2 linked regions of the Cricetulus griseus genome follow. The protein of the gene in region 2 interacts with the protein of the main gene of each other region in a pairwise test. Links are inferred from orthologs where the notes say so. Each region holds a gene or a part of one and is shown on either strand. Other genes may lie near its edges.

Region 1 (6,141 bases), about 17 Mb from region 2:
TCTAGAAAGACGCTGCTGTCCATCTGAAGCACAGGTGCCCGCACCTCCTCTGTCCTGGGCGCAGGCTCAGCCTGTCTGGCAGAACTTTCATCAGGCTCCTGGGCTGCCGCAGCACTGCTGGGTTCTGCTGTGGGCAGGCAATCTTCAGTCTTTGCTGAGGGTTCCTCGCTCACAGCCTGGGAGCAGCCCTGGGGAGGCTCTTCCCTCTCTGGCACAGGGACAGCAGTCTTAGCACTGTCCTCTGCAAACTCATTTTCACAAGGGGCCACAGGGGCCACTTTTGACAAAGAAGAAATGTCACGTTTAGGGTCAGCTTTCTGCAATTCTGCCTTTACAAGGTGACCTTTGTCATACTTGAACTTTTTGGAAGTGCGTTTGTCTGTGGTCTTTTGTGATGAAGCCTGCCAGGAAAGAAAAATGTAAGAGAAAGCCAGACCCATCTGGCAAAGGCACAGGACTCAGTCTCAGGACCCCCCCTTCTTCCTCTGCCACCAGTCACCATCTGTCCTGCCACTAAGAGGCAGGACAGACTGGAGGCCAAGGAGGACTCCACAGCGCCACTCCAACAGGCGGTTTTCTGAAGTGCCTGCCTACTTGCTTTAAGATCATAGTAGGGACACGCAAAATGGCTTAGTGCATAAAGGTGCCTGCTGCCAAAATGACATCCCAGGACCCACAGGGTGAAAGGAGAATCTTCTACTTCAAGTTGTCCTCTGACTTCAACCTATGCACTGTGACATGTGTGCCTCTCCTTCAAACAGATAAAAATGTAATGTAAAAAATGATGTAAAAGATCCCAGTTTCCATCTCCCCACTCCAAGCAAGCTCCTGGCTCTTTGCTTTTTTTGTGACAGTGCCTGGACATTGTAGGCATCAGCAGACACCCAGGCTGGCTTCAGCAAAGTGTCAGTGTGCTGTCCTGAGTAAGCGCTGTGCGAGGCCAGTTGTAGATGTGTGCCCCAAGCCCCAGCTACGTCATTTGGGGATGAGATTCCCTTACTAGGGCAGCTGCACTGTGATGTGTAACAGACCACTTGTGAGTCCTTTCCTTGCTGCCTGACTGTTCTCTCAGCTTTAGGGGTGAAGCAGGTGACAGACTCACATGGCTGGGCAGGCCACCTTCAAAGTGGCACAATGCACAAAGCTGAGCCTTAGTGTCTGGATTGCTAGCACACTTCTGCACACATGGTGTTGGTGCACAAAAGGAAACTCAGCTGCACTGCCACGAGCACCCCTCTCTGACAGCAGGGACGGCACTGTCACATGGCCTGAAATGTCTCCCAGGCTACACACAGCAGCAATGGCTTCTATTTCACACAACACGTCTCGGAGTGACAACTGTGGGAACGGATGGAGCCAAGGCCTTGGTGTTCTTGGTAGTGAAGCTCACCAGACATGCTGTCTTGGCGGATGTGGAGCTGGCAATGTCCTCGGCAGGGGCCGAGCTGGCTGAAGAGTAACGGCGGGCCCGAAGGCGTGCTGAGGATCGCACTCCACCTGTGAGCTAGACAAGAATGAAGCTCAGAGAGCATGCTTTGGGCAGAATGCCAGTACAGAGCTGTGGGTGCTCAGCTCAGAGCCTGCCCACATTCCCTCACAAGGCTGCTATGGCCCATGCTGCTTCAACCCAACTGTCCAGGTTTAGATACAGGGTCCAGGGCCAGAGGGATGGCTCAGTGGGAAAGAGCGCTTCCCACTAGGACTGAGGACCCGATTCAATCCTAAAGATTCAAATAGTGGAAGACAAGAACCAACTTCTGACGATTGTCCTCTGGCTTCTACCTATGCTGGGTACATGCCACACAGGTGGTACAGCACACGCGTGCACACAAATACAACTGAAGACAAAAGCTGGCTGTGTGCTTGTCCATGGTGGAGGTTTGGGACCATCAGTCCCCTTGTCTTGTATGTTTCCAAGAACCAGCATGGTAGCAAGTGGACATGAACTCATACCCGTGTGCCTCTCTCTCCTACAGAGTCTTATGTAACCCGGGCTGGCCTCAGACTTGCTATGTAGCTAATGAGGACCTTGCACCCCTGAACCTGCCTCTATTTCCCAAGTGCTAGGATCACAGATGTGAGCTGATACATTTGGCTTATGTGGGATGGAGAAATGAACTGTGCTTCATGCATGCTAGGTAGGCATCCTACCAACTGTGCCATATTCCTGACTCCACCCCTTAAAATATTTTTTTTTGAGAAAGTTTTCATTAAATTACTTTGACAAGTCTTGAATGCAAGATCCATCCATCTGCCCTAGCTTCTTGAGTGCTGGGGTCACAGATTGTCATCACACACAACTGTCTCACACATCATCTTATTGTCCTGGCTGACCGAGAACTCCCCATGTAGCCTAGGCTGGCCTTAAATTTACACACCAGCACATATGTAAGGGACAACAATAAAGGAAGAGAGCAAAAAAAGTATTCGAAGAAATAATGGTTGAAAACTTCCTGTGTTTACTGCAAACAATAATCTATACATTGAGGAATCTTAACAAACTCAACTCCAAGTTGACAGGCTACCTCTGACACAAGAGAGAGGAGAGGATAGACCCGTGGACACACCATCCCCTGTAGCAGTGCTAATCTTGGAAGAACTGGTAAGAAACCAACCCCTTACTTTGCACAAACAGTGGGAGTCACAGTGAATACACTTGGTGCACTTAAAAAAAAAAAAGTCAATTAAGAAAATCTATACCAGAAAACCTGTCCTGCAAAATAAAGGCCTGAATAAAGACATTTCTAGATGCCAACTGAGGACTGTTGCTTTAGAACTGCTGGGAGTTCTAGCTGAAGCTAGTGACCCCAACAGTAACCAAAGAAACCACGCACTGGATCACCCCTCCCACAAGGGAAGTCCTTGTACAGAATATTTTAAACACACTTCTCTCTAAAGGCAGTAACATAGGGGGTGGGCATGAAGGAGCCTTGCTGGCCTAAGGAAGTGGCTGAAGCGGAAGACGGTGTAAATCCAGGGCTGGACTGTCAACAGATGTCTAACAAAAGACCACAAAAGGCGGGGAGAGAACTACACGAGTTAGGTCATTCTGTATCTCACTGGAACTGAGGCAGTACAATTCTGAAAATACCCACACAAGGAAGTAAAAAGCACAGTGGGAAAAATGATTCAAGTCAAACCTTAACGTCTGCCTATTCAAGAGGGACAGCAACAAAGACAATACCAACGTGGGGCACAGTTACCTATCAACACTACACGCAAACGCCTACACAGGTCCACCCGAAGGCCGGATGTCTGCCTGGATTTTGGCCACCTGTAGGCAGACAGCAGCCACACCTCCGGCTGAAGGGCACTAGTGAAAGGAGTGGGAGTTCACGGTACCCGCCAGGCCAGGTCAGAGCCCCTTTGCAGCTGCGGATTGGGCCCAGTCCCCCTCCCTGCTGTCACACTGCCAGTCCCTGCCCAGTCAACACGACACAGGGGTTTGGCTGAGGTCAGCTACACCATGCAGAGTGGAGGGGAGGGAGCCGGGGCGGCCACCTGCACTGTCAGGGGCCGCCTCCAGTGCGAGCGGCAGACTTGCGGCCCTCACCCCACTCCTGGGGCAGGGCCTGTGGCGTTGGGGTGGGACGGGGTGCACGGTCTTGCGCTCCCAGGGGCGGAGCTGGGGGTCCAAGGCGCCCAGGGCAGGGGCCGCTGCCAGGCGAGGCCCAGCAGGCCCCGGGGGAGCGGACGGCCCGGCGCGGCGCGGCGCGCGTCCCGCCTGCTGGGCCCCTCACCTTCCTGCTCCTCATGAGTGAGCGCCGCCCGGGCCTAACGCTCCTCCGCAGAGTCCCAACCGCGCGGCTCTCGGCGCGCGCCTCCGCTGCGTCTGACGTCACCGCCGGCCGGCCAATCGCAGGGCGGCGCCTCGCGATCACGTGCCGCAAGCAAAGCCCGCCCCTCCCGACAGCGGGCCGAACGCGCTTCCGGGAACTTGAGCCTAGGGCGGAGCGCCGGAAGCCGGGCGGCGCGCCCGCCACACGGGGAACGGGCGCTGCCTCGGGTGCGTGTGAGCCCGCCGTGTCTAACCGCCACGTTTGAGAAACGCTCGCCCTTCGAAGCCTCCGCGGCCGCCATGTTTGAGAAGGGCGCTCCTGTTGATGATGCGTGAGTCGCCATTTTGGAAAAGGGACATCACGTGCTGCCTCCGCGGCCGCCATGTTTGAGAAGGGCGCTCCTTAGGATGCGTAAGTCGCCATTTTGGAAAAGGGACATCACGTGCTGCCTCCGCGGCCGCCATGTTTGAGAAGGGCGCTCCTTAGGATGCGTAAGTCGCCATGTTGGAAAAGGGACATCACGTGCTGCCTCCGCGGCCGCCGTGTTTGAGAAGGGCCAGCTCCCCGGCTGGGGGCCCTCCTCTCTCTGGTCTCGGCCCCTTCCTTCCTACCCTGCGGGGCCACCATCAGCTCGGGGTCCCATTTACCCTCAGCGAAGCCGAGGACGGGCGGCCCTGGCCTCTTTGCGGGCCTCGGCAGGCGCTCAGAGGGTCGGGGCACTTGCAGTCCAACCTGACAATTAGACTTTGACCTCAAGATACCCACAAGGTGTCCTCTGACACGACGGACACTCCATCCCGAGACCGACTCATTCTCCCTCCAAATAAATAAATAAATAAATAAATAAATAAATAAATAAATAAATAATATGAAAATAAGAAAGAGCTTCAAACACAAATGAAATCTGGGCCTCAGCCTCTGTCTTGCTGGGTCGCATTGCTGATGAAATGAAGGAGACTGACAGATCTCTCCAGGGCACTACAGGAGACGAGCAATGCAGACCTGTGCGGGCTCCTCTACCTCTAGGAGGGCTCCACTGGGTATTGCACGGGTAGAGCCCCAGAAATCAGGCTGCTGGTAGGACTAGCCTTTGGGGAGGTAGCCAGGCACCTTGCAGCTTTGGCATACTGATGCCCTCTGCTCACCTTCCTGGCTGGCATTCCCTCCTCCTCAGCCTCATGCTTCTTCCCCATTATTTCCCACGGTGCTTGGAAGGGGACTGACAGATGTGTGACTGGCGGGAAAGCCATTGGAAAGGAAATTAATATAATCGCAGCCAGCTGTAAAAAACCAGCATGTGCCGTGACAGGACGAGCCTGCCCGGTCATCACAAGTTATTCTAGGCTTGGCTCAATGATTTCCCTTCGTCCTTCAGAAAGCCAGGTCCTGGTTCTACTGGGCTTTGAAGTTGGTGTCGATTTACTTTATGGACAAGAGTATTTTGATCACATGTGTGTCTGTGGACCAGATGTGTTCCTGGAGCTCTTGGAGGTCAGAAGGGGACATGGAATCACTTGGAATGGGAGTTATGGATGGGTGTTAGCCACGTGTGGGTGCTGGGAGCAGAACCCAGGTCCTCTGTAATATCAACAAGTGCTCTTTCTAAGAATAGGTACACTGTCTTGTCCCTAGTTGGGATGGGAATGGTGTTTCCTCATCGCCACCATGGGTGGTACTGACATTGTATTCTTACATGGTACAACCAACCAGCAGTTCTGTAAGTCTGGACTGGAAATCTCAGCTGAACACATGATTGCAGAATGGATCTATGACTAGAATCTTGCTGGAGCTCTTAAGATTGCCTCACTGCTTCCAGAATCAAGGCCAACATTAAGGATGGGGGCCTATGAGATTTTGTCAGGCATCCATAGTAGGTCATGGGTGAGTGTTGTTGGACTTTTCTTTGGTCTGCCAGCTCACAAAAATGACATGGAGACTTCTTATTAATTATGAAAGCTCAGCTTATAGCTTAGGTTTGTCCCACTAGTGCTTATAACTTAAATTAACCCATTTCTATTCATCTATGTGTTGCCACATAACTCGTGTCTTTTATATACCCTCCACTAACACCATCAATATCTCTCATTGTGGTCAGTTTTCATTCAAATATATTTTAGAATATAGCTGGGTACAGGGTGAGGGGCCAAGACTTGCTTTGAGTGCTTGGGCAGTAAGGCAAATTGTGTCCTCTGAGTATTTAGGGAAGAACTCCTATTTACCATGTTGTGCCTATCCATAATTGGGCCTGCATATGGTTAAACCAGATGCATCATGGGAAGGGGCATTTCAGTAAGCCCAGGCTTGTATAAGCCAAGCCCGTTAATCAAAACAGATCCATCTTGTAGCAAGTGTGGGAGGCTGT
Region 2 (6,073 bases):
ACAGCTCAGCAATTAAAGTCACTTGAATCACACACACGCCTGGTGACCAGAGTTCAATCCCCGGAATCCACCCAAAGGTGGAAGGAGAGAATGGACTCCACAAAGTTGTCCTGTGACTTCCATATATACATCAGACAAGCACAGATACATTTTTTTTAAAGGTTGGCCAGGCCTGTGGTGGCACACACCCTTAATACCAGCACTCAGGAGGGTAAAGGCAGGTGGATCTGTTATACAGAGTAAATTCAAGGCAGACCAGGACTACTAAGGAAACCCTGCCTCAAAAACAAACAAAAGCACTGCAGAAGAATGTGGAGTCATTCTTCTAATTGAATTGATAATAGGCCTTTTAAAAGTTTAGAATATGCCAGGTGGTGGTGGCATGTGCCTTTAATCCCAGAACTTGGGAGGCAGACACAGGTGGATCTCTATGAGTTCAGAGGCCAGCCTGGTCTGCAAGGCAAGTTCCAGGACAGGCTCCAAAGCTACACAGAAAAACCCTGTCTCAAAAAAAAAAAAAAAAAGGTTTAAAATATAAGCAAATGTGTTTATCATTCACACAAAAGATGGCATACTATAAAACACTGGTCTCCTAGTTAGCTTCAGCTGTCAACTTGATATTACAGCTATTTGAGCTGGACTCAGGGGATTGCCTCCATCAGACTGGCCTGTGAGCATGTTCGTGGGGCGTTTTTGTTCATTCTTTTTTTGTTTTTGGAGTCAGAGTTTCTCTGTATTGTTTTGGAGCCTGTGCTGAAACTCACTCTGTAGACCAGGTTGGTCTCAAACGCAGAGATCCACCTGCCTCTGCCTCCTGACTGCTGGGATTAAAGGTGTGTGCCACCAACGCCCAGGGTTTTTTTCTTGATTGCTAATTGACAAAGCAGTGCTCACCCCAATGTGGGCAGTGCTATTTCTAGGCAGGCCAGCACAGGCTGTTTCAGAAATGTAGCTGAACCATGACCTGGTAGCAAGCCATTAAGTTGTCTTTCCCCAGTTCCTGCCCTGACTTTCCTCAATGATCAATTTATGACCCTGACCCTGGAAATTTAAGTCAAACAAACCCTTTCCTTTTTGTTTTTAATCATAGCAATAGGAAAACAGCTTGAACAGGTATGTCCCTTGAAGCTCCTGTGACATTTAATGACTGTAATGAACAGAGAGATCTCTTCCTAGTCTGACCTGTAACACAGTAGCCAGCATTCCCATCCCGTCCCCTCCCCTTTCCAGGACAGGAAACAAGTCTTGACTGAAGCCTGCATTCCCAGCGAACTGGTGAACACCAGTACCAGGAAGGCACTCAGGACAAACTAAACAGATTACTGGAGTTTTATTAGGAGAGGAGCTGGAGGTTGTTACACCAGGGGCAGGAGCGGATTTTTCTAGAAAGGCACCTTTTGGTCAAATGTAGCACAAGTCAGCTTTCTCTCCTGTGAAGGCGGGGTCAATAGTAAAGCCTTGACTTGTGGAGTTTAGTACGGATTCTACAAAAAGTTGCCCAGTTCCCAAACATTAGCCCAAGAAACAGAAGACTTAAGGAAAATTAACCTGGAGCTCAGTCACAGATTCTTACTGTACCTTATTAGCAAACAGTAGGTGCAGCATAATAAAGAAAAGAATGGGTGTTTTTGGAAGATGCTGACTGAATCTGTGTAACTAACGGGCCGGCCCACTGGTCCTCGCCTCTGAGTGACTGTGAGCCTGATGGTAGAGTTCAGGAGGACTGCTGCCGGGACATGACTGTCAGCTGCTGGGGAGATCCGAAAGGCTTCGCCCCCGAAGCGCCCACCATCCGGACGAGTGCAGTTCTGGTCCTTGGCGACCTGCCTTGCGTGCCGGCACCCTCCTACCTGAGTTCGGGCCTGCTAGGCGGGGCGCTGCAGCCAGGTAGGCCGCGCCCTCTGCCCCGCGCCCGCCCGACAGAGCAACTCCATCCTTACCGCCGGGAACAATGAGGTTCCGGCTTCTTTAAGGGAGATACCACCGCGCCGGTGGGGCAGGGGACGGCGTCCTCCCAGATGATCGCCCTCAGTCGTCCCGCATCACCGCCTGGGCCGCGGCGCCGCCCGCAAGCAACCCGGGGGACCCGGACAGAAGGTGCAGCCTCCCTTCCCCGGCCGCACCACCCCGCGGGCCCGCCGCCCACACCCGCCACCCGCGGAAGATGCGCCGGGCGTCGGGTCGCAGCGACCGCTCGGTACGTGTGCAGGGGACAGGGTGGGCAGCCGGCGGCCGGGCTCGTGCACTGCCGGCCCGGGGCAGTGGCCGCGGCTTCCCCAGAGTCCAGGCACCCGCACCCGCCGCGGCAGAGGGCGACCGTCGTCCCCAGCCGCCACCCCCGCGGGCCCGGGCAGCAGTGGTCCGCCCTGCAGCGCGCACACCCCGCGGGCGCCGCTCGGCTCTGCGCGGCACCGGAGCAGCGAGCGGCGCCGGAGCGCCACGCCGCACGCGCGCAGGACCGGCGCTCGCTCGCCCAGCAGGCGGCGCTCGGTGACGCACGCGCACTACGGCAAGCCGGAGGGGGCGGGGCCCGGCGTGAGGGGGTGTGTCCGCGCACCACGGGGGCGCGCGCCGGCTTCTGACTGGAGGCCGCGGCAGCCGAGGCGCGAGCTGCCCGATAATGGCGGCCTGCAGAGCTCATGAGAGGGAGAAGCGGCGGCGGCTGCCCTGAGGTAAATCTGGCCCTTCGTCGTGGCACGGATGCCCTGCGTTCAGAACCGCCCTCCCTGCATGTGTCGCTGGCCCAGCAGGCCCGTTCCAGACCTCTCAGCGGAGTCATCCCCGGGAAGGCCCGGCGCTGCCCCGGCCAGCGGCCCGGACTGCGGCCTCCGTTCCCGCCCGGGCCACTCCCGGGCACCGGCCCCTCGTCTGCAGCCGCAGGGAGCCGAGCGGCCGTGCAGCCGGCTGCAGGGCCGCGGGAGGGTCCCTCGGGGTTTCAGGGCACTGTCGCCGGGAGCGATCTTGCTGCTGGGGCAGCGAGCGCGGCCTGAGCACCCTCACTTGTCCCCTTCGCGGCACCAGCAGGTGCATGTCCAGGCCGGCCGTGCCCAGCGCCCGGGGACCGCAGCAGGCAGGAGGGTCCGGGACACGCCATCGAAAGGCACACAGGTTCTCGAAGGATGCTTCCCCGGGGCGCCTCTCCCTCCAGGATCCCGGGGATTTGATAGACACCTTCCCTCCTTGTTCAGGAAGGTGTCCCCCCCCTGTCTCGGGGGACCGTGGCAAGTGGGAGAGAAGGGACTGCTGCACAGAAAAGAGCCACTTGGAAGCGCACAGTAGCTGGCGATCGGCGCAGAGCAGAGCAGAGCAGAGCAGGGCTGTGGCAGGAAATTTGACATTAGGAAATAAAGCAGTAGGAACTTGAAGGATAGGCGACCAATTAAAGGAAGTAGCGCTCTCGGCAATCCTCAGAAGCAGTCATTTTCTTTTCAGTCTTGCTTATGGACTTAAAAGTAGTTGTTCCCGGAGTTTTCAGCTTCCAGGGTCAGTCACTTTTTGTTTCTCTGATTGGGCAATGTAAATACAATCTCAGGTTACTTTTTCTGCCGGCGATGACAGGCAGCGGCGAGTGAGCATTTGAGGAGTGAGGAAGCACACTGCAGGCTCTCCAGTCAGAAGAACGCTCTGCAGGGCCTGTGCTGTAGCTTGCCTTTAAATGATTTATTAATTTGGAACTTCAGAGAACTTTTCTCAGAGAATTCCCTTTGATGTATAAGATGCTCCCCCACTTTGGCAAAAATGACCTAGAATTAAATAGCTATGTTAAACGATAATAAAAAAAAGTAGTTCTAGTCTGAGCAACTTGCTTCGTTTTAAAGAAGTTCTCCTACAAAAACTTTGTGTTTATTTTGTAAGAAATAAATAACCAAGCATACTGGCGCATGCTTATAACCCCAGGACTAGGAAGGTGGAGGCAGGAGGATCAGTAGTTTGGGATCATTCTCTGCTACATAGTGAGTTCAAGGCTAGCCTGAGTTACTGGAGACACTGTCTCAAACAAAACAAAATGGTCTTGTTCACTTTCAGTCCATAAGCATAAGTCAGGGGATTTTTGCATTTCACTGTTTTTATTACCTTTCATATATGCATCAACCTTAAGGAGATACAGATACATTGCTTCATTTTTTTCATGATCAGTAAATTAAAATGTTGAATTTTGAGTTTATTTGTTTATTGTTTTTCGAGACAGGGTTTCTCTGGGTAGCTCTGCCTGTCCTAGAACTCACTCTGTAGACCAGACTGGCCTTGAACTCAAGGGCAGCCTGCTTCTGTCTCCTGAGTGCTGGGATTAAAGCCTGAGTGCTTGGATTAAAGGCTGGAGCCACTGCTGTCCAGCTTTGGGTTATTTTTATCAATGACATGCTCCAGCAGTTCCTATAAGAAGTAATGTAGTTTAGGGTTTAAGTCATGGATATCTGAACCAAAGAGCTGCCTGGCCACTGGCTTTGTACTTAACCCTCTCTGTGCTTTAATTTCCTCACTTCTAAAATGACCATTATAACACCTACCCCTTGCTACACAGATTATGGTTAGGGATTAAATGAATGTAGTATAAAGTAGCCAGGTAGTGTCACCACCCATCATTCCAGAGACAGAGGTAACCAGGGCTGTTGAGATTGGTTCAGTGGGTAAAGTTGCTTTCTGCCAAGCCTTACAACATAAATTCAATTCCTGGGACCCACATGGTAGAAGGAGAGAACTGACTCCCACATATTGTCCTCTGATTTCCACAAAGACACAAGCGTACACACGAAATATGCAATACAGCTTTTAAAAAGTGAAAGCCATCTTGAGCTATATAATAGCAAGATCCTATCTCTTTAAAGGGGGCTGGAAGGAAGGCATGGTGCACACGTCTTTAATCCCAGCACTGGGGAAGCAGAGGCAGGCTTATCTCTGTGAGCTGAAGACCTTGTCCAAAACAGGGGTGGGTGGGTGGAGCCTGGAGAGAGAGTTGAGTGGATAAAGCGTTTGTCCAGTAAATATAAGGAACTGAGTTTGGATCCACAGAACCCACATACAGCCAGATATCCTTCGTGAGATGGGAGGCAGAAACAACAGTCTCCAGAAATTCACAGGCAGCTATCCTGCCGTGCTCTACTCGTTAGCAGTGACAGGAGAGCCAAGGTGTGCCATGGCATGGGCATGCCTGCACTCACACACCAAGATAAACTTTAAAAAAAGTCAGAAATGATAGTGCTGTAGCCATGGCTTCTGAAGCCAGCCTGACCTACACATCAAGCTCCAGGCCAGGGGAACTTGGCAAGACTCTGTCTCAAAGACAACAAAAACTTTAGAAACCATTGTAAGGTATTTGAAATAGTTCCTAATATAGGGTAAGTGCTATCTGTTACCTTTTTTTTTTATTATTGGTAGATTCCTCCAAAGTATAGATAGATATCTTTCAAGTACCACAGTGAAACAGTTAGTTAAATCATGCATAAGAATACAAACCAATAGGTACACCTAACTTCAACAGAGTACTTTGTTGATTTTTCCAGAAACCTCGACCTTGAAGATGGTGAGTAGCCAGCCAAAGTACGATCTAATACGGGAGGTAGGCCGAGGTAGTTACGGTGTTGTGTATGAAGCAATCATCAGAAAGACCTCTGCGAGAGTAGCAGTGAAGAAAATCCGATGCCACGCACCTGAAAATGTTGAACTAGCCCTTCGAGAGTTCTGGGCACTAAGCAGTATCAAGAGCCAGCATCCAAATGTGATTCACTTGGAAGAGTGCATCCTGCAAAAAGATGGGATGGTGCAAAAGATGTCCCACGGCTCTAATTCTTCCCTTTATTTACAGGTATGTGTCACTGGATAGGAAATGGACGCAATATTGGTCAGCAAGAGGAAAAAAGTGTCAGATGAACTTCTCCCTTAAAAGGCAGGTGTTCTATGACTAAGTGCAGGTAGAGGTCTTCAGAGGATAGAGGAGATACTTACTTTAAGCCTGAGCTGCACATGCCTAAAAATAACATAAGCCACCTGTTATGCCTAGTACCTGCCAGTCTGCGTAGGAATAGGACAATATGGGAACTGGAGGAATAGGACAATTTGAGACTAGCATCAAAGT

Evidence for each region. The genes of interacting proteins can lie anywhere in the genome.
Region 1: the proteins of Pdik1l (region 2) and CUNH1orf174 interact in binary tests that used the Homo sapiens proteins (3 or more experiments, as listed by UniProt). The two-hybrid records come from large-scale screens. The link is inferred for Cricetulus griseus from reciprocal best matches to the Homo sapiens genes PDIK1L and C1orf174.

What each region holds. Positions count from the first base shown.
Region 1 is NC_048595.1:2,366,823-2,372,963, forward strand, and holds the start of CUNH1orf174 (UPF0688 protein C1orf174 homolog), read right to left. Parts: upstream 3,884-6,141; 5' UTR 3,756-3,883; coding exon 3,741-3,755; intron 1,505-3,740; coding exon 1,391-1,504; intron 402-1,390; coding exon 1-401.
Region 2 is NC_048595.1:19,021,714-19,027,786, forward strand, and holds the start of Pdik1l (serine/threonine-protein kinase PDIK1L), read left to right. Parts: upstream 1-2,628; 5' UTR 2,629-2,672; intron 2,673-2,698; coding exon of another isoform or gene 2,699-2,779; intron 2,780-5,501; 5' UTR 5,502-5,518; coding exon 5,519-5,803; intron 5,804-6,073. Other genes in the region: translation initiation factor IF-2-like, read right to left, coding at 2,029-2,628, 2,699-2,779.